Mytilus edulis: one gene and its partner. The protein of the gene in region 1 purifies or fractionates together with the protein of each later gene. This does not show direct contact. Links are inferred from orthologs where the notes say so. Each region holds a gene or a part of one and is shown in the gene's direction. Other genes may lie near its edges.

What was found.
Region 2: the proteins of kinesin-like protein KIF14 (region 1) and KIF-binding protein-like purify together in Homo sapiens (affinity purification with mass spectrometry; 3 studies listed by BioGRID and IntAct, counting the BioPlex papers as one, with this or other methods). This does not show direct contact. The link is inferred for Mytilus edulis from reciprocal best matches to the Homo sapiens genes KIF14 and KIFBP.

What each region holds. Positions count from the first base shown.
Region 1 is NC_092345.1:3,947,293-3,960,328, forward strand, and holds the start of kinesin-like protein KIF14, read left to right. Parts: upstream 1-7,611; 5' UTR 7,612-7,904; coding exon 7,905-8,560; intron 8,561-9,139; coding exon 9,140-9,394; intron 9,395-11,028; coding exon 11,029-11,137; intron 11,138-13,036. UniProt on the Homo sapiens protein: Microtubule motor protein that binds to microtubules with high affinity through each tubulin heterodimer and has an ATPase activity. Plays a role in many processes like cell division, cytokinesis and also in cell proliferation and apoptosis.
Region 2 is NC_092346.1:36,837,581-36,851,498, forward strand, and holds the start of KIF-binding protein-like, read left to right. Parts: upstream 1-8,622; 5' UTR 8,623-8,745; coding exon 8,746-8,858; intron 8,859-13,918. Other genes in the region: cytoplasmic dynein 2 light intermediate chain 1-like, read right to left, coding at 1,004-1,190, 2,231-2,319, 2,756-2,825, 4,590-4,624, 5,115-5,170, 6,130-6,182, 8,290-8,300. UniProt on the Homo sapiens protein: Activator of KIF1B plus-end-directed microtubule motor activity. Required for organization of axonal microtubules, and axonal outgrowth and maintenance during peripheral and central nervous system development.

The sequences.
Region 1 (13,036 bases):
GCCTTTTGCTTCGCAGTTTGTGTATGTTTTTATTTTAAAGAAATCTACAGATTCCCAAAAGCATACACAAAAAGTTTAAGGACAGCTTTAACATAGGAAAATTAAAACCTTATGTCTTATATTTTTGTTGAAATAAATTGAATAAATCGGTGCTGTCTTGTCAAAGTGTATCCTGGTCATGCAGATGATACTGCAGATGATATATTATAAAAGTATTCCATATTTACTTACTTTTATGAATGACTTTAATTTACAAGTTTGAGTTGTTTACTCGATATTATAAACACATGATTTGATTTCTACCAATATAGTTCATTTTGAGTTGTTACAAATTATAGTATGTTGGATCTTCTTAAACTCGAAAAATGTGGTATGATTGCTACTGATCAACTTTTCAAAAGAGACCAAATAACGTTAAAGTAAGCGACTGTTGGTCACCGTAAGGCCTTCACCAATGAGCTTAACTCATAATGCATATTTCTATTTTTTGAATCAGAACCGAAAACAAAGTACCGGTTATAGAAAATTTAACAGACACATGTTTAATCCCGCCACATTATTTATGTATGTGCCTGTCCCAAGTCAGGAGCCTGTAATTCAGTGGTTGTCGTTTGTTTATGTGTTACATATTTGTTTTTCGTTCATTTTTTTTTTTTACATAAATAAGGCCGTTAGTTTTCTCGTTTGAATTGTCAGATAACTGCGAGTACTCTCAGATCTGTTCATTGTGTCTTTTTGTGTCGAGATGTATAAGTACCGGGCCACGTCCACTTGTATTTTTGTCCATCTGATGAGTTAAGCTTTTTTCAACTGATTTTTATAGTTCGTTCTTATGTTGTACTATTATACCACTGTCCCAGGTTAGGGGGAGGGTTGGGATCCCGCTAACATGTTTAACCCGGCCACATTATTTATGTATGTGCCTGTCCCAAGTCAGGAGCCTGTAATTTAGTGGTTGTCGTTTGTTTATGTGTTACATATTTGTTTTTCGTTCATATTTTTTACATAAATAAGGGCGTTAGTTTTCTCGTTTGAATTGTTTTACATTGTCTTATCGGGGCCTTTTATAGCTGACTATGCGGTGACCTATAGTTGTCAATGTATGTGTCATTTTGTCTTTTGTGGATAGTTGTCTCATTGGCAATCATACCACATCTTCTTTTTCACATGACTACGGACTAGAACTTTAAAGAATAACCATCATTGATTGATTGTTGTAAGTTAGTTTAACGTCAAGAGTCAAATATTTTATGCATATTCAAGACGAATGAGAACAAATTACAGAGAAATTGACTACTGCTGTAAAATGAGGAATTGTTAGAGTAGATACAGAAAAGTATTAGCAATAATATATTTATATATACCTTCTACAACGAAATTTGTTTTACATGCACACGTATAAAAGTTGCGGTTTTTATCCAACGCAATCATAGATTTGAACATAGTTTTAAATTTAGACTTGTTTATATTTTTTCGTTTGGGCTTGTATCATATTTTCCCTCCGGTTTATATGATCCGTGCATCCTATTTTGACTCTCTAAATTCAACAGTCTATCCTAAATTGAGGTAAATTATATGGCCTTCCAAATTACGTTTTCGATCCCTAACATCACTGAAGAGACATTTATTGTCGAAATCCGGATCTGGTGTATAAAAAAATGTTGACACCTCATGTTTGTGGCATAACATCTCTGCCGCAAGTTCATTGTTTTCTGTTTAGTATTACATTTATATTAAGATCCATTTTGCTACATCTTGTGATAAATTTATTTGGCAATCGCCAATGGCAGTCAGCAGGGTTTAAGAACATCAGTTGTTCGACCCGTTAGTCAAATGCGTTTTGTTTAAATATACTTTTTCACTTATTTGGTCTTTTGGAAAATGTTGTTTGTGTTGTATTTAGACCCTTCTACAACGAAATTTGTTTTACATGCACACGTATGAAAAATTGCGGTTTTTATCAAACGCAATCATAGGTTTGAACGTAGTTTTCAATTTAGACTTGTGTATATATATATATAAAAAAGTGAAACTCCATAAAATCTGACAAAATCAAACGTTATAATTGTAACCATCGGAACTGATGGAAAACAATTGTCATTTCTGTTATAATTCTAACCATCGGAACTGATGGAAAACAACTGTCATATCCATATTCCATAACCTTAACTGGCTATCTGAAAACTTTGTTTTAGATACAAAACTATTAATTTGCGGACACTTGGAACTTTCGAACGAACAAAATATTCAAAAGAGTAGGTTCAGTAGGACCCCTTTTTGGCCCCAAAATATAGCAGTTTTACAAAAGTATGAAAATTGTTATCTTTAAACCATTTACTGGAAAGTAGAATGCTTCTGCTACACAAATATGGGCTGTTTTTGACAATACAATGCACATATATCAGGTACTAGCATCATTAAAGGGAAAAAACGTCACGACCTACAGGAAGTAGTCAATATTTTTTCATTAATTATTGAATTTCTCCTTTATTACTGCACATATAGCGATAAAACTTTGTGAATATATATATTATGTCATAATGAACATATTTAAACCATAAGTAAAAAATCGCGAATTTTCCCTTTAAGTCATGCTAAATTACTGAAATCTTCACAATTTGAGCATTTTAGTTAAATTTTAGACGGTTTCCGTCTAAAATGCAAGTGGCCGCATTCGTGTTCATTCATAATATTAAAATGTAAGTTGTATTATAACATATATAAAGTTTGAGGATGAACACGGATGCGGCCACTTTCATTTTTGACAAAAACCATCTGAACAGTGACGTTGTTTGGCATATTTAATAGATTTTATATATTTAAGCTTGAATCGGAGCGTTTTAATGACTAAATCAGTTGAAATCTTTTACATTAACTAATCGAATCAATTTAAATAGACACTTAAGTGTTTAAAAAGTGTCTAAAATCTTTCGTTCGATGAACCTGAAATTTAAGGCCAAAATCGGCCCTTACCGGATCTACTCCTTTTCAAACATGTTCAAAATTTTATAAAAAGGTCAAACAGTTTTCTTATGCCTTGATAGAGCGTTATTATTACTGACACAGAACGTCATCGTTGTCATCAATTCACAAGTCATCGTCACAGAATTATGCGACTTTTCAAACTTTCTTTTTCTCTTTTACTTTCACTCCTCTTTGTTCACCTATGAAAGCTTGTATAATATTGTATAAACTGTTTGTTTTATATGCATGTCCATTATATTATACTATTATTGTAACTTTATACTGTATTATGGAGAAGACTTCATAAGTATGATTTACTTGTGTCTAATCCATTTTGCTTTAATTCAGCAAATAAAATATGTTTAAACTAAAACTAAAACTAAACCGAATAGTTAGCTATAAAATGCCCCGAAATGACAATGTAAAAAACGTTGCGCACGATGTTCCTACAACACCACGTTAAACCACCAGACGTCAAAGCGAGTTTTCTGAAACTTTTGACGTACATTTATTCAATTTGTAAGTTTCATTTGCTTTTTTTATGTAGTTGGTTGATTCTAAATATGTCTCTATTAATTTTGTGATGTCAAATTTCCATGAATTTATTTACCTCAAGTTGTGGAAATCGAATAAATAATGTTTACCCTTAAACCACCTTAAAATGTTGTATTGTCGTAAGTAATGAACTTGAAGGAAAGAAAATGGGACAGCAGTATACGGTTTTCAATAATTGAATTATAACAAAACTGCTAAAGTTTCATGGTACATATCATCTGTCATTGTAAATTTTTCATATCTTGATTCAACCCTATAATACAAATATATCCGACACTCTGCAAGTAAATAAAAACATATTTACCCTTGATTAATTTGAATGGAATTGTATTAAAAATTTGCCGTGACACATACCTTGTCGAAATACAACCAGTTAAATAAAATTACTAAAACCCGATCTTGAAAATTATTTTCCCAGTCATTTGAAGTAACTAGTTGCTTGTTTTTAAAATGTACTAATCATCTCCTGAATCGTCCGTATAATACGGGGTTGCATTAATTCAATAATACTGTTTTTGTCGCTGTTTCCGATAAGTCTTTCAGTTACCTCCGTTTCATGCACAACATGCACCGTGGTTTTTTTTCTACAACCAGCAATTTTTTTTTCAAATTTCACAACGCGATTCATTTTATGTATCAGGAATATACGATGGAACAAATTTTGCACATGTAACGTCGAAAAAAAAAGCGTTTGTTTGGATTTTTCGACGTTTGGACAAAATGGCTACCGTTTTGTAATGTTTCGTAGCATTTTATTCCTGTAAGACCCAAACATGCAGTTAATAAAAAAAGAATCTAGACTTTATGTAATTTTTGTTTATCTAACTTTTGTTTTGGTAAATTATAAATTACTTTAATATTGAAATATTGCTTGGACAAATGAAATATCAACTTGGACAAAATGGCTACCGCTTGAAAAACGACTGTGTAGAGATGGTTTTATAGAATCTACAATTTTTGAACTCACGAACAATGAGGCAAATGTTTGTTCTTTCGGTAGATGTTATAATTATCTCACATTTTTTAGACATCTTTAGCTATGTCTACTTATAAAACTACCTTTCAGTCGTTAAGTCAAAGAAAAACGTCATTATTCCAGCTTAATATGCAACAACCGAGTCAAACGAAATTCGACAAAAGAACGACTTTAATTTAACCGAGAACTGACACACTTCGTTGCTTCTGCCAAATTTCGGGAAGATCAGAGAATAAGAAATAGGATAACTATACATAAGAGATAAAACAGTTGTTTAAAATGTAACGTTCGACATCCGTTTTTTTCACATAGCTTTGTTGTTTTAATCCTCAAATATACTAGATATTACTAAGCATATGACCAAGAGCTATAAGAACATAAAGGAAAACATATATTGATTTAGTTTTTATAGTGGTTAGTGTTTGTTAACATTTTATTTTGTTTTGCGGAGGAAATTTCGAAGATCCTACGGGTTGTAGGAACAGCGTGCGTGACGTTAAAACAATTCAAACGAGAAAACTAACGGCCTTATTTATATATATAAAAAAAAGAAACGTTACTGTTTCTTACACATTACTGTGCATCAATACATCCCGCACAGTGCAACAGTCGATCCTTGCTTTGGATCGTAACCTCCAGACGGGAAAATTGGAGTATATTCAACTTCGTACTATATTTGGTCTTTTAAACTTTTTTGGATTCGAGCGTTACTGATGAGTCTTTTGTAGTCGAAACGCGCGTCTGGCGGATATACAAAATTTAGTCCTGGTATATATGATGAGTTTATTTACAACCATGCACTGGGTCGATGCCACTGCATGCTAATGGAGATTTATTTCCCCGAGGGTATCACCAGCCCAGTAGTCAGCACTTTTTGTGCGGACATGAATTATCATTTATATGATTATATTTATAAATTAACTGTTTACAAAATTTAGAATTTTTGAAATACTAAGGTTTTTCTACCTAAGGCATAGATTACCTTAGCTGGATTTGGCAAACCTTTTAGGAATTTTGGTCCTCAATGCTCTTCAACTTCATACTTTATTTGGCCTTTTTAACTTTTTTGGATTCGAGCGTCACTGGTGAGTCTTTTGTAGACGAAATGTGCGTCTGGCGTATATACAAAATTTAGTCCTGGTATCTATGATGAGTTTATTTTCTATACACCGGGACACTCTCAATACTATACTAACATTGTCAAAAATCTACAGGATGACATTTAACAGTTTTCAATAAAAAAAAGATATATAGTGAAATGTATTTTTTAATTGTTTTTACCATGAAAGAAGCACAACATCCCCAAGTTCCTTAGTACCTATGTACTTTATTTTATGCATTTAGGACTATTTTGTTCTATCTTAATAAAATTGAGAATGGACAACAGCAGAAAGTTTGACGTTTGGTCATTGGGCTTGTAGTTTGTAGTAGGTATTGTAGTTTGGTGTTTTCTATTGGTGTATTCATATTTTTTCATATTTTTGTATTAACGTCAGTCTCTTAACACATCGAAAGGTTAATTGTAAAAGTATTTTTTCTAGTCAAACACATCAGATGGAAAATTGTGAAAATTGTGAATTGAAGTAAATCTTCTTAATGATTAATATGCCTAAACTCTATAGTCTGATTCCCCTCTTTCTTTCTAAATTACTTAACATTTTGTATAAACGGTCTTATTTTTATGTTTAAAAAGTAAACTAGGAAACACCACTATTTGAAAAATAAAATAAAAAAAAAAACATATATAAAAAAAAAATTAGAACAAAATAAATATGCACTTACATAAAAAATGACAAAAAAAAAATGACAAACATCCATAATGATAAATATAAACAAAAACAAAGATGTATGTAGAAAAGATGAGAGAGTAAAGTCAGACGAAGTTGTTTTTACAATTTATATGTTTCAGTTCTAACCATCTGCTGATTGACATAAAAAAATAAACATTGCTTGATAACAGACACCTATAACAATTAAAGGATAATACTTAAAAGTTAATTTGATTGTCCTGTCGATTAGGATCATCAATGTTACGTCATTCGGGTGATAATCACAGGTAATTGTCACACGTGCCATAATGACAGTAAAATTGTAAAATTATTAGATAAACAGCACCCTTCCCGTGTCGCCTAAACCAATTAAATGGGAGGGACCTTATGACACCGGTGTTTGGACATAAGTGGCAAAGGGTCAATGTTTACTCCACTCTTAAATTTATATATAGATTTTATATTTCGCGGATAAATCAAATGAAAATATTTATTATGACTAGGAGACAGTAAATTTTGCTTGAAGGAGAATTTATTTATGATAAGAAAATGAGGAACAATAAAAGGAAAACTTTATGTGCATCGTCAGGTGGTACACCATTACAGTGGAGAAAGGGTAAGAAAACTTTTTAACGATAAAATTGTAAAAAAAAAGTTTTAATTAAAGTCATAATGGAGTGTAGCCGCTGGGTATTTTTCGTACTTATTCTTATTATAGAATCCGATCAGTATTTTCAAAGAAAATGACTTGTAAAAAATAACAATAATAATTCATAAATTTCTTTAAATATAACCATAGATGTAATACATAACATCTATGATATAACCAAAGACATAAAATGTATTATATGTCTTTGATATAACCATAGATGGGTATTACATCTAACAAAGTACATTGCAATGCAATATTTTGTTAGGGGAAAATTCAGTAGCTGCATGCTTAGATAATAAGACATCGTTTATAAACATTCTGGTGCAAATTACTGACTGTTTCAACTTTGGTCAATAAAGCATTGATATTCAAAATATATTATATTACAAATCTTATAGAAGTTTTTACACATTATTAAAATAAAGTTTGTTCCCCTTACACTGAAATGTATCTCATAATTGAAAATCGAAAACTACTGTATGCTAATTAAATTCGATATTCTATAAAGTTATTTAAGTTAGCTGTATTGATTTTTAAATTGCTGTCCTTAAATTATTTTCACATTTAATTATGGATTTTATTTTTTGTTAAATTTTGTTAGAGAAGTAACTTTTAAATTTCTCTGACGGATTTTCATCTGGTTTGCCTCCAGAAATCGATCTAGCTATTTTAATCGCCTTAACTTTTAACCAATCATTTCCTTCGTTACGAAGTCCCAAGGAACTTGTGGAGGCCATTTCAAATTTTGTAAACACTACGATTTGAATGAATGGAAGTAAATGAAGCGAAAACAACCTTTTAAATCTTAAAAGTCTTGGAATAAGTGACAGTTTTGATGTTTTTATTTCCACACTAAATTCTCTGCGATCGTGCAACTTTTATAGTGATATATTTTCGTCCCAAAAAAATTGTATGGTTTGTTCTGTTTATCAATCTCCTTTCCATGACAATCTAACATAGGGGATTTTGTTCGTAATTGCGTTTTTGTATGTCTATTGTGGTGAAAATGTCATCCTCTGCAACGAAAATACCGGGACTATCTTTGTCGGCGAGGAATAAACGAAAATTGCCTGAAGTTCCAAACGTGTGTATACAAAATGGGACAGAAAGTTTAAAAACCCATGCAAAGTTTAATCCAGAAACTGTTGAAATATCAATAGGTGGTACACACAGTAGAGGACGAATTAAACCAGGATCTGAATGTATAAAATTGTCGTTTGACAAAACAAATTCTTCCGATGATTCTCTCTCTGCATATGAAAGTAATACAAGTACTTTATCAGGTGACACAACATTCACAAATTCAAGTGTTTGTGACCAGTCAACTGATAATGCAGAACATGATTCTATTTCAAATTGGACTAATAACAAAGAATGTAATAAAGAAAACTTTCTTACTCCAGTTAAGGAACCAAGAGGACCCCCTGAAATGGACAGGTTTGATTTTATCTCGCCAAACACTTGCAAGACCCCTAAAAGGAGATACACAGAAGGTGACAAGCTGATTGCTACTCCAGAATGTTATAATGCAGTACAGCTTGAGGATTTATCACGATTTGAATTCCACAGCGATGATGATGATCAACCAAGGGAAGATAGTAGTAGTTTAACAGTAGCAGTACGAGTTCGACCTCTCAATGCAAGGTGCAGTAGTCTTGTCATTATTGTCAGTTTTGAGTTTTTTGTTTGGGGAATTTGATAAGAGATTAAGAACACATTTCCTTTTTTACTTAAAAAAATGTTTTATACATGTATCTAAGTATTGCTCTGAGTCTCTCAATAGGGTCATTGACCTATTTTAATAAATTTTTCATGTACAGTACACAATGTATTTTAACTTTAAAATACATTTACATAAAGTTCTGAAATGACAACTTTGCAAGTCTTGTAAACAGGTGCTACAAGCTAAAAAAAATTGGTGTATCTCTGGTTTTTTTTTATTGTACATCCATGAAAATCATGATAATGATTTCAATTGTACATGTAATGACATTCAGAAATTGTATTTTAAGTGACTTGTCACTTGTTTTCCAATTCTTGCATTGTGTTGCGGCACATGTTCATTTATTTGTTTCCAGAATAAACTTCAAAGTATAGTTTATCATGTTTATATTAAATTGTGTGAATTTATATTTTGTACAATAATATTTATGCATATTGAATTGTACAAATTTGTTTTACCATGTTTACATGTACATTATATCTGATAAAATATTTTTTCAGAGAAGAAAAGATAGGCAACATCCGCTGTGTGGTATCTATGTGTGATAAAGAAACAACAGTTACTAAGGATAACGGTTCTAAACAGACATTTACATATGATTTTTCATTCTGGTCATATGATAAACAAAATGGCAATTTTTCTGACCAAGAAAGAATATACAAGTTATTGGCCCAGCCTTTACTGGTCAAAGCTTTTGAAGGCTATAACACATGCTTATTTGCATATGGTCAAACTGGAAGTGGAAAAAGTTACAGGTACATATGATATGTAATAAAACAGTTGTTTTTTTTGCGTATTTTTACCATGTTTACACTAAGGATATACGTATGCACCATATTTTTAAAATATAGCCCACCCTAAAGTTTTTTTGGTCATTTTTGATTAAGCACTGTTAGAGTCAAAATGTTCCTCCCATAGACTCAACGGGAAAAAAAAGGAGGTAAAATAAAATAAAATCGCTATGTACAATATATGATGTACCTACCCTATTTTTTTGAAAGATGTACATTTGTAATAGAAAACACATTTTTTTGGCTGATTACATTTGTACAGGACTACATGTACATGTACTAAAATATCTATATTATAGATCTTTATTAAATGATATGAGCAAATAAGCCCTAATACAGATAAATCAGCATGTGCAATACTAAAAACGTTTCACTGTCGATATAAATCAAGATTTAATATTGCTCTTCGAACAGGGCCAATACGGAAAAAAACAGGGCCAATACAGAAAAAAGCGGGAAAAAAGCCGTATCAGCCCTAGGGCTAATACAGGACGTTCACTTCCGGTTTTCAATTTTATTACGCCATTACTTAACTCTGGAAGTATCGTTATGCATAAAAACATTTGTATAATATTTTTTAAATTAAAGTCATAAAATAAACAGGTTAAATGATGTGCAATGTTTTGTAATGTCTTAAACTTTTGAAACGGAAAAAACGAGGGCCAATACGGAAAAAAGCGGGAAAAAAGCTGTATTGGCCCATGGGCTAATACGGGACGTTCACTTCCGGTTTTTAATTCTCTTATAATCATTTAATAAAAGTGTTATGAACTGGCTGTTTCTGTATTGGCACTGGTATAGATTCTCGGTCAGCTGTATTGGCCCTCGACCCTACGGGTCTCGAGGCCAATACAGCAAACCTTGAATCTATACCAGTGCCAATACAGAAACAGCCAGTAAATAACACTATAATATTAATTATTGTCATTTGTACCAGTAAACAATATAAAGGTGAAATATAGGTAAACTCTCTTGGTGGCATAGATCTACAGTACATGTATACATGTTGTATATATGTCTCTTTTGCTGGTCATGCTACAGTCTTCACGCTGAATGGCAGCCCAGGCATCCCAGGCTTGTAAAATTTCTCTCGGGCCTGTTAAAATCATATCTACAGGCCAATAGAATCGTAACTAAAATTTTTCAAAAATTGAGCTCCGGGCCTCTAGATTTAACAGTTCATCGTGAAGACTGATGCTATAGCTACATGTACATTGTAGTGTTGAATTCAAAACAAGCAGACAGGATATTTTTGTGACCTGTCCATTTAAAACCTAATGAACAGAGATTTCAGAATGATAAACACAATATCATTACTACAGTCATTGTACTAGCATTAATTGTGAAACCAAGAGTTAAAGTAATTTTCAAATGATGCAACATGTTTGCACTGTCATGACTGTATAAAAAAAGCTAAAAAATCTCTAAGTGAGGATATAAACCTTGAAAAATGCTGAATATAAAGCCAAATAGACATGTATGTAATTATCAAACTACATTTATATTCAGAGTTTCATATTAAACAATTTAAACTCATACCTGCTTTCATTATATATATGTCTTAAATGTCTTTTTACATGTTCTTGTTTTAATTACAGTATCATGGGACAAGTAAACGAAGATAGAAATGAAATAGGAATCATTCCCAGGTTTTGTGAAGAATTATTTTCACGAGTAGACCATGAAGTGACCAGAGATTCAGAGATGGTATGTTTATATCTGTACTAGTACTGTTATACTCTTAGTCATCATGGTAATTAATGTACAACAATGTATGTTGGTGTTTTGCACATGGTTAACTGTAATATGAAATCTTTTTCACTGGGTTAATTTTGCTTATTCTTGATCATGTTATCTCCACAAAAAAATAAAAAGAAACAATATTGATGTGAAATGTGAACTCACCATTGATTGGAGAATGTTACCCCTACAAAATAGTTCTATTGTTCGAAATCATGTACATGTAATATTATAACAACCAAGAAAATATCGGAATTACAGAATTTGATAGTTTTTTTAGCATTGGTCATTTAAGATTGACTGTACTTGTACTTTTCTTACACATCTTAACAATGTGTTTCAAATAAATATGCCATATTTATTATGTTTATACATTGTACATGTGTTATAAGGGTTTCAAGTACAGGTACTTGTAAAAAAATATCTTGAAGCACTGTACATGTACAAAGTGCTTATCTTCTAGAACTTTCAAATATTTTGTATATATATATAATGTGGTTTGATTGACAATGAGACAACTTTCCACCAGAAACTAAATGATCTTTAGGTCACTGTACAGCCTAAAAAAGAGAGAGATGTTTATATTATTAAACAGACTGTTAACCGTTCAACAACCTAGAAAATAGCTCTGTAAAACATGTCATGTAGAATGAAAACGTAATTTAAAGTATATGATTGAGAGTTTCTTGTCCTTTTCAATAAACAACTCCTCAAATACTAAAACTTAATAATTAGTTCTTTTGTAAGTGACACAGTAATTTTCAGTACATTATCTTTGTGATAATATTTGAGAGAATTCCATTACCATTGCCGCCCTAAAATTATAATCTGTTGTCCTCAACAAAGTAAAATCTATCAATTTGAATCTACTTCATTTGAAGTTTAAATGAAAATTCCATTCTAGTGTTGACTAGGTCTTTACTTGAGTTGTGTATTGTAAAATCTATTGTTTGATTTTTAAATGAACAGTACTCAGCTGTTATTGTTTTCCCTTTCGTAATAATAATATAGGACTTTAAAGTTTGAAGTGATTTTAGTTAAGCATGTTAAATCTACACAGACATTTAAGTATTATGGTCTTTACTGATTTACTTTGATAGTTTTGTCAATAAAGTATGAAGTGTATTGTTGTAGGATCCATTATCAATTTGTAAACAAAGTGAAAGAATTTTTATTAAAATTTTAGTCAAGTCATAAATTTCTTCAGTTAGAAGTTGATTATTCTTCTTGAAGATGTAAACCCAGCACGTACAGTTATACATACTTTGATCAATGAATAAAACTGTAGTAAAATTTAACAGACAAAATATTTGCACCAACATAAAAGACTGTACCTTTACTTCATAATGAGTAACTTTTCAATTTATAAAATAAAATTAAAAGAAGATAACATAGATAATTGGTTTATTGATGTAAATATTTAAACAGTAGGTACAAAATTTCATTAGACCTGGGAATCACCTAGATTTTTAAATAGATAGTCATCAATCATATTGATAAACAAATGTTATTGGTCCCATGTGTAGCTAAAATTTATTTGAAGTAAAGAATGTGAAATGCACAATATTACATAATGCAGTTACAGAAAATAAGCTTGGACAGATTTAGCTCCTAGTTCAGATCGGTGCTTACGTTTGTGCGCATTACCATTACAATTGCGCGCAAAACTCATTACGTTTGTGCGCAGCTTTTGATTACATTTGCGTTCATTTTTTTGACAGATAAACTCAGGTAAAATACACGTAATAATACTTATTTATTTATTACTTTGATCAAATATTTCCAAGTATCAGTACCCCTTCCGTTAGTCTAAGTCTCCTACGGCACCTATTTTGAAAGAATTCAATCAGTAATTTTTAAGGAAAA
Region 2 (13,918 bases), on another chromosome or scaffold:
TCTTACTTTGCTGAACATTATTGTTGTTTACACTTTATCTCTATCTATAATAATATTCAAGATAATAACCAAAAACAGTAAAATTTCCTTAAAATTACCAATTTAGGGGCAGCAACCCAACAACGGCTTGTCCGATTCATCTGAAACTTTCAGGGCAGATAGATCTTGACTTGATAAACAATTTTATCCCTGTCAGATTTGCTCTAAATGCTTTGGTTTTTGAGTTATAAGCCAAAAACTGCATTTTACCCCTATGTTCTATTTTAAGCCATGGCGGCCATCTTGGTTGGTTGGCCAGGTCACAGGACACATTTTTTAAACTAGATACCCCAATGATGATTGTGGTCAAGTTTGGTTTAATTTGGCCCAGTAGTTTTAGAGGAGAAGATTTTCGTAAAAGTTTATAACGACGATGGATGCCGGACGCCGGAAGCAAAGTGATGGGAAAAGCTCAATTGGCCCTTTGGGCCAGGTGAGCTAAAAAACTGAAGTAGTTATGACAGTAGTAATTCATTTATTCTTTAATTACACTTGATATTGTTTTCAGGGAATTAAAGATTCTACTTCAGAAAAGTCTAATGAGGTGTTAATCAATTAAAAAATAATGGACAATGTGTCAACAGGACACAGAGGATGCCCCCACTTGCATCATACGTTATAAAGTGACATAACTCTAGAACGGTAAGTAACGCCACCCGAATTTGAACTTGATTTGTATTTTGAGGTAATAAGCATTGTGTATAATTTCATAAAATTTGGTTGAGGCAAATTAAATTAGAAAACAGAAACTAATTTTGGGACGTACATCGATATATTTGAGACGGCGGGGACATTAAAATGTTCCAGAAGGTTCAAAATTAAACTATTTGGTATCTAAATGGTTTGCTCAAACTCTTGCTCAGACTTATTAATTTACTCTCTGTACCAACTCTTTCCGAAAACTTAGTTTATACCTTGTAGTCTTTTGATTGCATGACCACCTTTTCAAAGTGTGTATACTTACTGGGTGGTCTGCCCCTACTCTTTCCCACGCTTGTTTTGTCAATCTATCTTTGATACTGGGATCCTCAGATTTCATTTCCTCTATAACTGTATTTAGTCTAGACTTTGCAGAGTTCAGGAGTGTTTCTAGGTTGTACCATATCTCTTTAGGTTTGGACAGATCAATTACAATAGCTACTGCTGTGTGACTGTAAAGAAAAGTAAAGAGCTTTTTATAATTCAAAATACATGCAGTTTGTTATTTAACAATTTCTCAACAAAATCAATATGTTTTCGTCTATTTTCTATTGATTTATACTCTTGCTGAGTATTTTTTTATGTATGAATAATTGGTTTAATGTTTATATCTCTGGATTTGTTAAATTATGTAATATATAAATTTTCTTTAAAATAAGCGTTGTAGCTGTTTTTATGCCCCATTTATGGGCATTATGTTTTCTGGTCTGTGGGTCTGTTCGTCCGTTCGTCCCAATTCAGGTTAAAGTTTTTGGTCAAGTAGTTTTTGATGGAGTTGAAGTCCAATCAACTTGAAACTTAGTACACATGTTCCTTTTGATATGATCTTTCTAATTTTAATGCCAAATCAGAGATTTCCTCCATATTCACGATCCATTGAACACAGAAAATGATAGTGCGGATGGGGCATCCGTGTACTATGAACACATTCTTGTTAATGCATATTATGGAAAATATAAAAATGTCTGTTTTCATGTAAATGAATAAGTTTTATTAACATGACTAATAATCAGGAGCATGGTGTAATGGTTAGTGCATCGAACTACTAACACAAAGGTTCCTGGTTTGATTCCTGTTCCAGGATGAAAATTTCAGGGACTGAATTTTCGTCTCTCCCTTGACACCATTTGCGAGTATGGTCTTGAGGAAACAATAATAGTCTGTCAGAAGGGGACGATAAATGGCTGACCCGTGTTAAGAGACAGTCAAATCTCTTTCACATTAAAGACACCCTTGTAGATTTCGAAAAAAGAGCAGGCTAATGCTGCTACAAGGCAGCACTTCCACCCGAACCTTTATCATAAATTGTGATGTCCAGTAATGGCTGACAAATAGTAATAAGGTGTATTGGGGTTCTAAATGCATATAAAGGTATCACTTCAATGGATCTAAAAGAGGTTTTTTCTTGATAGAAGTGAATTTTATTGCAGGTTTGCATATAATTAATTCTTATTTAAATTCAGCTACAAAGTTATAATAAACCTATATATACCTTAGTGATGATGGATTAAGTGGAACATCCATTAGTTTAGACAACCATGTTCCTCCTCCAAGCTCCCATATATGTCCAACATCTTTTGCCTTAAAAAAATAATTGAAAAAAGTATATAAAAAAATTATGCAATGTCCTATGTAATGTTAATTTTCCTGTGAATAATATAGGAATTGTGAGTGGTTAAAATTGACATTTCAATGTTTGGAAACACTTGTAACTTTAAAAATCAGATCATTTTATATCTGATTTAAATATACAATGAAAATGTAAGAAGTAAAAGGATATAAAGTCAAACTTGCATTGGAATAGAATAACATTTACTGCCTTTACTTTGATTGGGATAAACAATGGACCTTTTACCACAGATTTGTTGCTTGTATTGTTCTTAATCTTAGTTTATAGCTCAACTTCATACAGACTAACGAAAAAAGACTTCATAGATATTTTTAACACTAGCAGAAAATATAAGAGAAGTCATTCTATTTAAAAGAAGAAATATGGAAGAGACATTGTCACACTTACAATATTATGCCCCTTTGCTCTGCGTCCAAATGTGTATTCTAGAGCTACAGTTGGTTTTGGTGCCTCATCTCTGTAACATAAAAAAATAAGCATTTAAATACATTCAGGAAAACTGGTATTCAAGGACCACTCAACAAAGTAGACAAAATTGGTGTCTTAACAGAATATTCAACAATTTGTATAATGAAAAACATTTTATAATGGTAACAGAAACATTTTGATCAGTTTTGATCATGATAAAAAAATATTGAAATTATTTGGTAACATAAATGTTTGATACTAAATTTTATCATCGATATAAGACCATCATTCGTAAATATAGCTCAACATGCAGACTTCTTATACGTTCAGGTATTTCACATCCAATTTTTTATGGAAATATTCTTTATAAAGCACAAAAATGTCAGTATTCACCTCAGAAGCTAACAAAACCTTTAAATAGACTTATTAAGAAGGGATATAGTTACGATACTGTTGTCAGGTCATTAAAGATTGCATATTTTGGCGTTAATATTGATTCACTTATAGGGTCTTTGTATCGGAACTAAACACATTCATTTAAAAACCAGTTGTTGGCATGACACGGGTTATGTTCTTCTCATATATGTTATGATGGTTTGATACTAAACCCCTAACGGGAAGGATTGTACCTGATATTCATATGATGAAGACATAATCTTTCAATCAGTTTAATTGAAGTCTGGAGCTGGCATGTCAGTTAATTGCTAGTTGTCTGTTGTAATTTATGTATTATTGTCATTTTGTTTATTTTCTTTGGTTACACCGTCTGACATCAGACTTGGACTTCTCTTGAACTGAATTTTAATGTGCGTATTGTTATGCGTTTACTTTTCTACATTGGCTAGAGGTATAGGGGGAGGGTTGAGATCTCATAAACATGTTTAACCCCTCCGCATTTTTGTGCCTGTCCCAAGTGAGGAGCCTCGGGCCTTTGTTAGTCTTGTATTTTTTTTAAATTTTAGTTTCTTGTGTACAATTTGGAGTTTAGTATGGCGTTCATTATCACTGAACTAGTGTTATACCACTGTTCCACATGATCCAGGTTAGGGGAGGGTTGGGATCCCGCTAACATGTTTAACCCTGCCACATAATTTATGTATGTGCCTGTCCCATTAGTCAGGAGCCTGTAATTCAGTGGTTGTTGTTTGTTTATGTGTTACATATTTGTTTTTCGTTCATTTTTTTACATAAATAAGGCCGTTAGTTTTCTCGTTTGAATTGTTTTACATTGTCTTATCGGGGCCTATTATAGCTTACTATGCGGTATGGGCTTTGCTCATTGCTGAAGGCCGTACGGTGACCTATAGTTGTTAATGTCTGTGTCATTTTGGTCTTTTGTGGATAGTTGTCTCATTGGCAATCATACCACATCTTCTTTTTTATATGTAGTATATATATTGTTTAGGGGCCAGTTGAAGGACGCCTTCGGGTGCGGGAATTTTTTCGCTGCATTGAAGACCTGTTGATGACCTTCTGCTGTTGTCTGTTCTTCTATGGTCGGGTTGTTTTCTCTTTGACACATTCCCCATTTCCATTCTCAATTTTATGTGATTTGAAAATTAAAATTATCTTGGCTAAAACCTTTTGATGTGGAATGATTGCTTAGTTAGGATATTTTGTGTGGTAGCATATTTTATCTTTTCACTTAAACAGTTATATCTTTTTTCATAAAATGTGAAAAGTGCACAAAGGGCAACAAAATAGATACTGATAATTTTACTTAGTATAGGGTGTATTATCTAGCTACCTAAATAACTTAAAGGAAATGATCAATAATGTGATTTAGAAAAATACATGATTAAAACATATTTACCTGTCTAAGAAACGAAGAACTATGGAAGTCTTTCCCTGTATAAAGAACAAATCAAATTCAGAACATACAAATTTTGAACTTGAAACAAAAACAAAAGTTACTTTTGAACCATATCTCCAAACAAACATAAACTAAAAAGTGACAAACATTAACCATATGATTCACTCTCAAATATATATCTCTCTGTATATCAGATCATTCAAAGTCACTTGTGTTTCACTGTGATTCAGTCAACACTCAACACTAATGTATACTGTACTAGTGATGTCACAGGTGGAAAATTTCAAATGTATGATAGTTCTTCTCTATCAAAACATTTACTGGTACATCATAAAATTGAGAATGGAAATGGAGAATGAGTCAAAGATACAACAACCCAACCAAAGAGCGGAAAACAGCCAAAGGCCAACAATGGGTCTTCAATACAGCAAGAACATTTCACACCCGGAGGTGAAAAACATTACAAACCTTCCATTCAATATTTCTCAAAAAGACTCAAAAGAATATCAACAGAAAAATACTCACTGAATTTTTTGCTCCTACAATAAACACTGATGATTCTTCTCCAGTAGCACCTTCAGCTAAAATGACAACATATAATTTTCCAGAGGTTTCAAAATTCATTGCTATTTTATTTACTTTTTAAATTGAGATGAAGATTTATTTTTATTTTGAGGTCATCAACTCTCCATAGAATAACTTTATTAAACCACGTGGCAATGACCTTCTAGTCAGAATTTTGAGAATGGGGTATGTCCTCGCAAAATTTTAATGAATTTTATTAAAATCATTTAGGTGTAAATATTCTTCATTGTATGTGCTAAGGGTTGTCTAATACTTGCAGTGATGCAGTGAATTTTTTTTTGCTCCATGCTGAAGGTCTCAATGTGACTATCAGATGAAGAACAACAATAAAAGCGCTGTTCCTTTGCTATGTGTTTTTTTCATTGATTTAAATTTTGTGTCATAGATGGATACCAGTTCACATATCTTTTCTTTTCTGTATTGTATCCATAATCTCAACATTACATTATAGAGAATAAATTGCTTCGCTGAGCGCAGCTGAATACAACCGCAGAGGTACAGCCCTGAACAGTTGGGGCAAAAATGGAGACAATACTCACGCTTGATACAGGTCTGAATTTGGATTGTAATTAAATATTTGACACACAATAGGTTTCTGACACAGAATAACTGTAGTCAATGAGCTTAGAATTGGTTATATGGTTTGAATTATTTATATATTTTTTTACATGTCCAAAACCTGACATTTCTTTTTACATATTTTACAAGTAGTGTAAGGGAGGTTAATCAAAACATAGACAACATTGTATTTTAAATGTAATTGGATTACCTCCCTTACACTGGTTTTAAATTGTCTTAATTGTCCATTAACCAGAAAAACTAGTTTTCCCTCTTTTTTTGCCCCTAATTTCTAATTTGTTTGAGCCATAACCTCCCAAAGTCAATCCTAACATGATATAGTATTATACGACGCAAAAATTGTTTTGCGGTCGTATAATAAATACTGATATCATACCTTTACTTTCATTTGATTCCTGTATTGCAACATCCCATAAAGATTTTTCTAGTCTGAAAGCAAAGATTTTTTTTTCCATTAAAATATCTGTAACTATAGATCATATATATGCATTTTTAGCACTACAAATTTTGTATTGGTTTTCTGTATTTCTTGTCCTCTGTTTAATGTATTCACCACTTGTCTATCATGCTTTGACAATTTAGAGTTTATAATAGTATGTAGGAACTTTGATTAAAAATAGTCTAGATAAGTTTATATAATATCTATTTTTAAGTTATCCTTTGTTTTTTATACATCTTTCTTGGCAAACAGTTACTGTATTATACCATGTATACCAAGACAGGAGGCTTTGTAACTCCAAAGCCTGCATTTCTCACCTGGCTATCATTATTTTAGTGTTACCTTATCAGAAAATACAACTAATCTAGGGACCTTATTGTTATTTGGGATTCTGCAACACTTAAAATTTTGACATTGTGCAACAATCTCTTTTCCTAATACACCTTATCGCTAATCCTGGCTGACCCGGCTGCTTGAACTTTTGACGCATACAACAATCACTTTTCCATTGTGGCGTCAGATATTTTGTTTTATGACGTCAACTTTTTACAGGAACCCGTGTGATATCCAGTAATGGCGGACAAAAAAGCGATAAGGTGTATTGTGAAACAGTATATCGAATATCAATATATATATGTTCCTAGTGGCATCAGACAATTTCTATTGTGACATCAAAATTTTAAGGTGACCAAGTTGTGATGTCCAGTAATATGATTAATATGGGACAATGTCCCCAATTACGGTAGAAAAATCAATTAAAAAAAAAAAAAAATCGGGAAAATTTCCTGAATTTTTCATTCTACTAATGAACTCAAAATCGTTAACTTTTTTTTTCAGATCTACTTCCGTTTCCAGTTTCTTCCGTTTCCGATCTTGTTTGCATGAGACTTTGAATAAAATATATATTTATCAACATATCAACAAAAATATAGGAAGGAATTCAACACCTAATCATTTTTAATAATTGTTTGATATGAAAAAACATTACCTGGATAACAGCGTTTCTTTGTTTACATTGAATATGACGTCATAACTTAAATAACGTCACAACTAAATCCCTAACAACAGAACCAATATTGGAAACATTATGGTATTTCCGTTTCTTTTATCAACATGTTTGAATTCAAAAAAAAAAATACAGACTTCGTCCCCATTCACAGGTTATATGCCTGCCTTATATTAATGGCAGACAAATAGCGATAAGTAGAATGAAGTACCGGTACATGTACGGTGTAGTCTGGTGTATCAGTGCACCTAAGACTTATAACTTCACTTTATCATGTTTATCAAAATGATAAAACCTTGCATTGGATAATATTGTGTGAAACAATTCATTACATACTTTAATTTCATAAAATCTTCTGTATGTATGGTTTCACCTTTTTAACATTTTGAGTAAAGTGTGTCCAAAATTTGGGAAACCCCTGTTTTGAGAGTTCTTCAAATAAATAAATTTGGTGTATATACTGTCTTCTGATTGGTTAAAATTTTTAGTTTTATTATTAATGTTGTCAATTTTGAAGACGACACGCCCACTCTGACGTTGTTAATATATATAATATAAAAAGTTCTTTGAGCCTTATTTTTGATAGAAATTTATTTATAATGAATGGCAATAATCTATTGCGGATTATTCAATGTGAAGAGTCAAAAATTAGTTTTATGGTTCAATAAATTCAAAGTAAATAATAGCCATTCATTAAATGTTTATTCTAATGCAACATCGTTTGTAACGTTCATTTTGATTGGATAACGTCACTTATTTACATGGCATCAATTGTCAATTGATGCTATGGGACGTACGCGCAAGGGCAGACGGCATATGACAGATTTTAAATACATGTTTTAACGTTGTTTTCTGTTTTCAGCTAACGCGTCGCCAGTAAACTTGATTTGCGACCATCAAATCCCAAATTGATGCCGCCGGAGCTTAATATACAATACAGTTATCTCCTAAGTGATCAATTTCTTACTGTTACTCAGTGTTAGAGATATGAAGGTTGATTTTTTGTGGTTTTCAAAAGGCTGAACTCTGTAACAGAATCTTTCATGAAATTGACAGAAATTAAAAGGTGTCATGGAAGAAGAAATTCTAACCCTTTTGACATTTCTGATAGTAGATGTAAATATTCAGTGGAATGTTACTGGTTCTGTTTAGGATTTTAAACCAGTGTATTGTTTATGGTAAATGTGATAACCTAAAATTAAAAAATAAATAATGAACACAACGTACCATTTAAAAGTTTTTATTGCACAATGAAATAAGTCATTAAGTAAATAAAAGAACAAAATACCACAGAGATAATTCTGAACCTTTTTTTCTTCTTCAAAAAATATATTTTCTTGTCGGTAAAACTATTTATTTCCTTGCGGATAATCTATTCGGAAAATATTCTCACTTTAACCGGTACCGGTCTGTTACTATGACTGCTGGTTCCAGATTTATTTTCGCTCAGTGCGTTGGCTCAACCAACAATAAATAAGATCCAAACCAGTAACTGAAAAATTTAGCATATTTTATTCTGGAACAATCACTTTCGCTACACTTTCACCATGTCTAAAGCCTGGCAAGATTTCTTGAGTAGTGAAGGATTTGAACGTATCGACAGTGCAACGAAGCTGTCAGATGAGGACTTAAACGACGATCCAGAAGATGATCCATACAGGTAAATAGCCTAGCTTCATGCATCCATCTCAACCGACACTGTCAGTGAGTGTCACTGGAAGACTCTGCCAGTGACAGTGTCGGTTGAGATGGATGCATGTGCCAGACATAAATGTATGCCTCGATTTATGCACATGCACTTGTTTCATTTGATGGTAGAGGTCTTCCTTTTCCGTTTCACATAAAACAAGTGCCAGTGCATTTTTTGAATTTTTTTTAGAAGACCTACAATGACCTACAATTACATGTATTTATAATTTAAAGTCAGTTGTAAGTGTATATAGGAGAGTGTTAATGCCCTTTACCGTCAGGCGTCAAACGGTCATTACTGGCTACGGTTAATGTCAAATTGTTTAACTTTTTACCGTGATTCGTCAAATGTCTCAAAAATAATTACGTTACCATTATTTTGGGGGGAAAAATAGCGTGATTTGTCAAATTCCGCTGATTGTTATATCGTCTAAAAGAAAGTGTACATTTTATTGTCATGCACTAAAAATTATCGTTAACATCATTTGGCAAGAATTTTTACCGTTATACGTCATGAAGGTATCCCCATTACTATCCTCATATAGGGTATAGTAGACTTCCACAAAAGAATTTGGTCAGTTCGCCTACATTCGTGCCCTTTCATGTTCACCCCCTTTCACTTTCGCACCCTAGACATTTGCAACCAAAGTCTGTTCGCTCCCTAAATGTTTGCACTTTTTTTTATATAATTTTGTAATCAAGTTTTTGTGCCTTTGGCGCAAGTCATGTTTCCATGGTTAGTGTATTGCTATAGACATTTTTTTTTTCATTGTTTCAAAATAAAGTCATGTAAGTGAAAATCTGACAATGTTTTGGTTTTTTTTTGTGTTGAATAAATAACTATGTTTTGGTTTAAATAGTGCATTGCTATACACAAAAAAAATCATTGTTTCTAATATAAATAAAGTGGGAACAAACATGACAAAGGGATCAAGCTGTTCAAAAATATGTTTTATTCATACTACATTTTACTTACACAATGTAACTAAATACATGCAGTATTTACTTCAAAGCAGGCTAAAACAACAACCAGATTTTCAAACACACAATAATAATACCTTTGGCTGTGTATGAATAGCAATTATCAGCAATCATACATAATTAACCTTGAATAATTAATCATCAAATCAATAATAAAAAAAAGAAAAAAAACACATATTTCACATAATAATTCCTAAATTTTAATTTTGGTAGAATAAATTTGTACATGTATAAAAAAAAATCTAATAATGCAACTGGAATTTGAATAAGAATTGGGTCGAAAGTTTATGGGGCGAACATGTGGGATGTGAAAGTGTATTGGGCGCAAATGGACCTGATACAGCTACACCATGTACACAGTGACTATACTATTCAGTTAATACTATACATTACATTGTTACGTGTATATTCAAATCAACCCTCGTTCTTGGTGCCACGAGAAACACTTGTGACTATACAAGGACCTATTCATAACATTAACTGTATTGTTTTCAAATTAAACATTCACAAAATGTAAAAGATTATATACTTTAATAATACTAATATTGCTCTTCAGTAATGAACAGGTGCTTGCATGAATTAAAGGCAGAGGCTATTTTGTAGGCACTGATTAAAATATCTAAATTCAAGCTGCAGAAATGGCTATTTTACTGGCACCAGCAATAAAATAATAACTGTGTTATTTGCCTGTACTTTGTAAAGAGGAAATTTGATTTTGCTTTTGAAAAGTTCTATGAAAATGTGCACTGTCAACTTAAAAGAATTAAATAATTACTGATACACCAGTATTTCAATAAGAAAACAGCCAGGAACATATAAACAGATATACTGACATATACTGTTCCCAGAAACAGCTAATAATATTTGAGATACAAAAATGTACATATAATTGTTTAAAAACATTTATCAGTCAAAGTTAAAAGAAAAAAAATCATAAAGAGCATCCCATTTGTTGCAATGAAATTGTATCAAACCATGTACATGCAGCTGAAATAATTTCGAAAATCAGTCACACACTCTATATAATGCTACATGTATGCATAAGAATTAAAAAAAGGTTTTTTTCTTTATTTTATAAAAAAAAATATACATGTTAAAAATTTCAGTGCATCAACAATTTAATAAAAAATATAAAAAAGTCAACCACAGACATGTACAAAAATGTTTGAATTCAACTAACTTGCTTTTGAAATAATAGTCAGTTCTTTGAAATGTATATATGTCATGTATGTGTAAACAAAATTATAAACCATTTCTATAGAAAAAAGCTATTTTAATTTGACTTCTTGAATTTAGATATTTAATCAGAGCCAGCAAAATTTGAAATTGTTATTTTATTTTGCTGATGCGGGCAAAATAGCCACAGCCTAAATTAAAAGTTAACACCAAAAGTTATTTAAATAAAGAACTAATATCCATTGTAAAAATCAATTCACAACCAAAGTATTGCCATGTGGTATAAATTCATAACCCCATATTACTCTATAGTATATAAGTTCAAGGTCATCTAATTAGCAAACCTGACATTTATATGTATGAAGTACACAATCAAAAAGCTGTAACAGAAACTACATACATTTTTGTCGAGCCTTCGACTTTATTCGAAAAAGCGAGACTAAGCGATCCTACATTCCCTCGGCGTCGTCGGCGGCGGCGTCCACAAATATTCACTCTGTGGTTAAAGTTTTTGAAATTTTAATAACTTTCTTAAACTATACTGAATTTCTACCAAACTTGGACAGAAGCTTGTTTATGATCATAAGAAAGTATCCAGAAGTAAATTTTGTGAAAATAAAATTCCATTTTTCCGTATTTTACTTATAAATGGACTTAGTTTTTCTGCGAGGAAACATTACATTCACTCTGTGGTTAAAGTTTTAAAAATTTTAATAACTTTCATAAACTATCCTTGATTTGTACCAAACTTGGACAGAAGCTTGTTTATGATCATAAGATAGTACCGTTATCAAGAAGAAAATTTTGTAAAAATAAATTTCCACTTTTCCGTATTTTACTTATAAATGGACTTAGTTTTTCTGCGAGGAAACATTACATTCACTCTGTGGTTAAAGTTTTTAAAATTTTAATTACTTTGAGTCTTTCATAAACTATCCTTGATTTGCACTTAACTTGGACAGAAGCTTCTTTATGATCATAAGATAGTATCAAGAAGAAAATTTTGTAAAAATAAATTTCCACTTTTCCGTATTTTACTTATAAATGGACTTAGTTTTCTGCCAGAAACAAAACATTCACTCTGTGGTTTAAGTTTTTAAAATTTTTATAATGTTCTAAAACTATCTTGGATTTCTACCAAACTTAGACAAAAGCTTGTTTCTAATCATAAGATGTTATTCAGAAGTAACAAAAAAAAAATCACTTTTTCCGTATTTTACTTATAAATGGACTTAGTTTTTCTTCCAGTTAACATTACATACAGTCTGCAGTTAAAGTTTATAAAACATTTATTAGATTCATAAACTATCCTGGTTTTTTTTACCAAACTTGGAAGCTTCTTTCAATCAAAAGACAATATCGAGAGGGAAATTTTTATTGATGTTTTTCATCATTTTTGTTGAGTCTGCAAATAACAGCATAAGTAGGCGAGACACTGGGTTCCGTGGAACCCTTACAAATTTTTTTTGTATTCAACTGTTATTCAACTTAATTAAAAGTGCAAAAATTTAACATTTTGTTTGAGGGACTTCACTGCTTGAATATCTCTACTTCAGATGGTTTCTGACAGACCAACTAGATTGTGGTAGATTACCTTAGCTTTAAAACCTTGTGTAGTCATTGTTCTTCAACATTGTACTTTATTTGGCCTTTTCATATTTTTTATATGACCGCAAAAATTCAAATTGTTTTTGTCGTATATTGGTATCACAATGTTGTCATAATCATCGTCAGCGTCGTCCGAAGACACTTCGTTTCCGGACAATAACTTTAGTTTAAGTGAATAGATCTCTATGAAATTTAAACACAAGGTTTGAAACCACAAAAGGAAGGTTGGGACTGATTTTGGGGGTTATGGTCCCAACAGTTTAGGAACAAGGGCCCAGAAGGGGTCAAAATAAGTATTTTTCTAATTTCCAGACCTGTTGGTTACCTTCTGCTGTTGTCTGTTCTATGGTCGGGTTGTTGTTTCTTTGACACATTCCCCATTTCCATTCTCAATTTTAATAACTTGTGTGTAAGTGTATGAATCTTTCTGAAATTGTACCACAAGGTTCCACTCCAAAAAAGGAAGGTTGGGATTGATTTTTGGGGGTTATGGCCCAAACTGTTTTGGAATTAAGGGCCAAAAAGGAGCCAAAAACAATCCTTTTCTAATACTTTGTATAAATTGCTTATTTCTTGACCAATTTCAATGGGGTTTTATTCCTGAATTTGGGGCTTTCTTAAATATGCTGAATCTGACCCTGTATTGAGTTTTTGGAATTTGGTCCCCGTTTTTAAATTGGTCCACATGAGGTCCATAGGGTCCAAAATTAAACTTTGATTGATTTCATAAAAAAATGAATTGTTGAGGTTCTTTGATATGCCGAATCTAACCATGTATTTAGATTTTTAATTTTGGGTCCCATTTTCAAATTGGTCTACATTAAGGTCCAAAGGGTCCAAAATAAAATTTGTTTGATTTTAACAAAAATTGAATATTTGGGATTCTTTGATATGCTGAATCAATCCTGATGGCCATGTATTTAAATTTTGGATATAAGACCACATTCATTCTGTGTCAGAAACCTATGCTGTGTCAACTATTTAATCACAATCCAAATTCAGAGCTGTATTAAGCTTGAATGTTGTGTCCATACTAGCACCAACTGCATTTGTATAAAGCTGTGCCCTGCGGAGCGTCTGGTTTTATTTGAGCATCATTGATTACCGGTAGTCTTTTGTAGGTGAAATGCAAAAAAAATTTGAATCCTGATATCTTTTATTAGTTTATGGTAAAATTGAGAAAGGAAATGGGGAATGTGTCAAAGCAACAATAACCCGACCATAGAGCAGACAACAGCCGAAGGCCACCAATGGGTCTATAACATA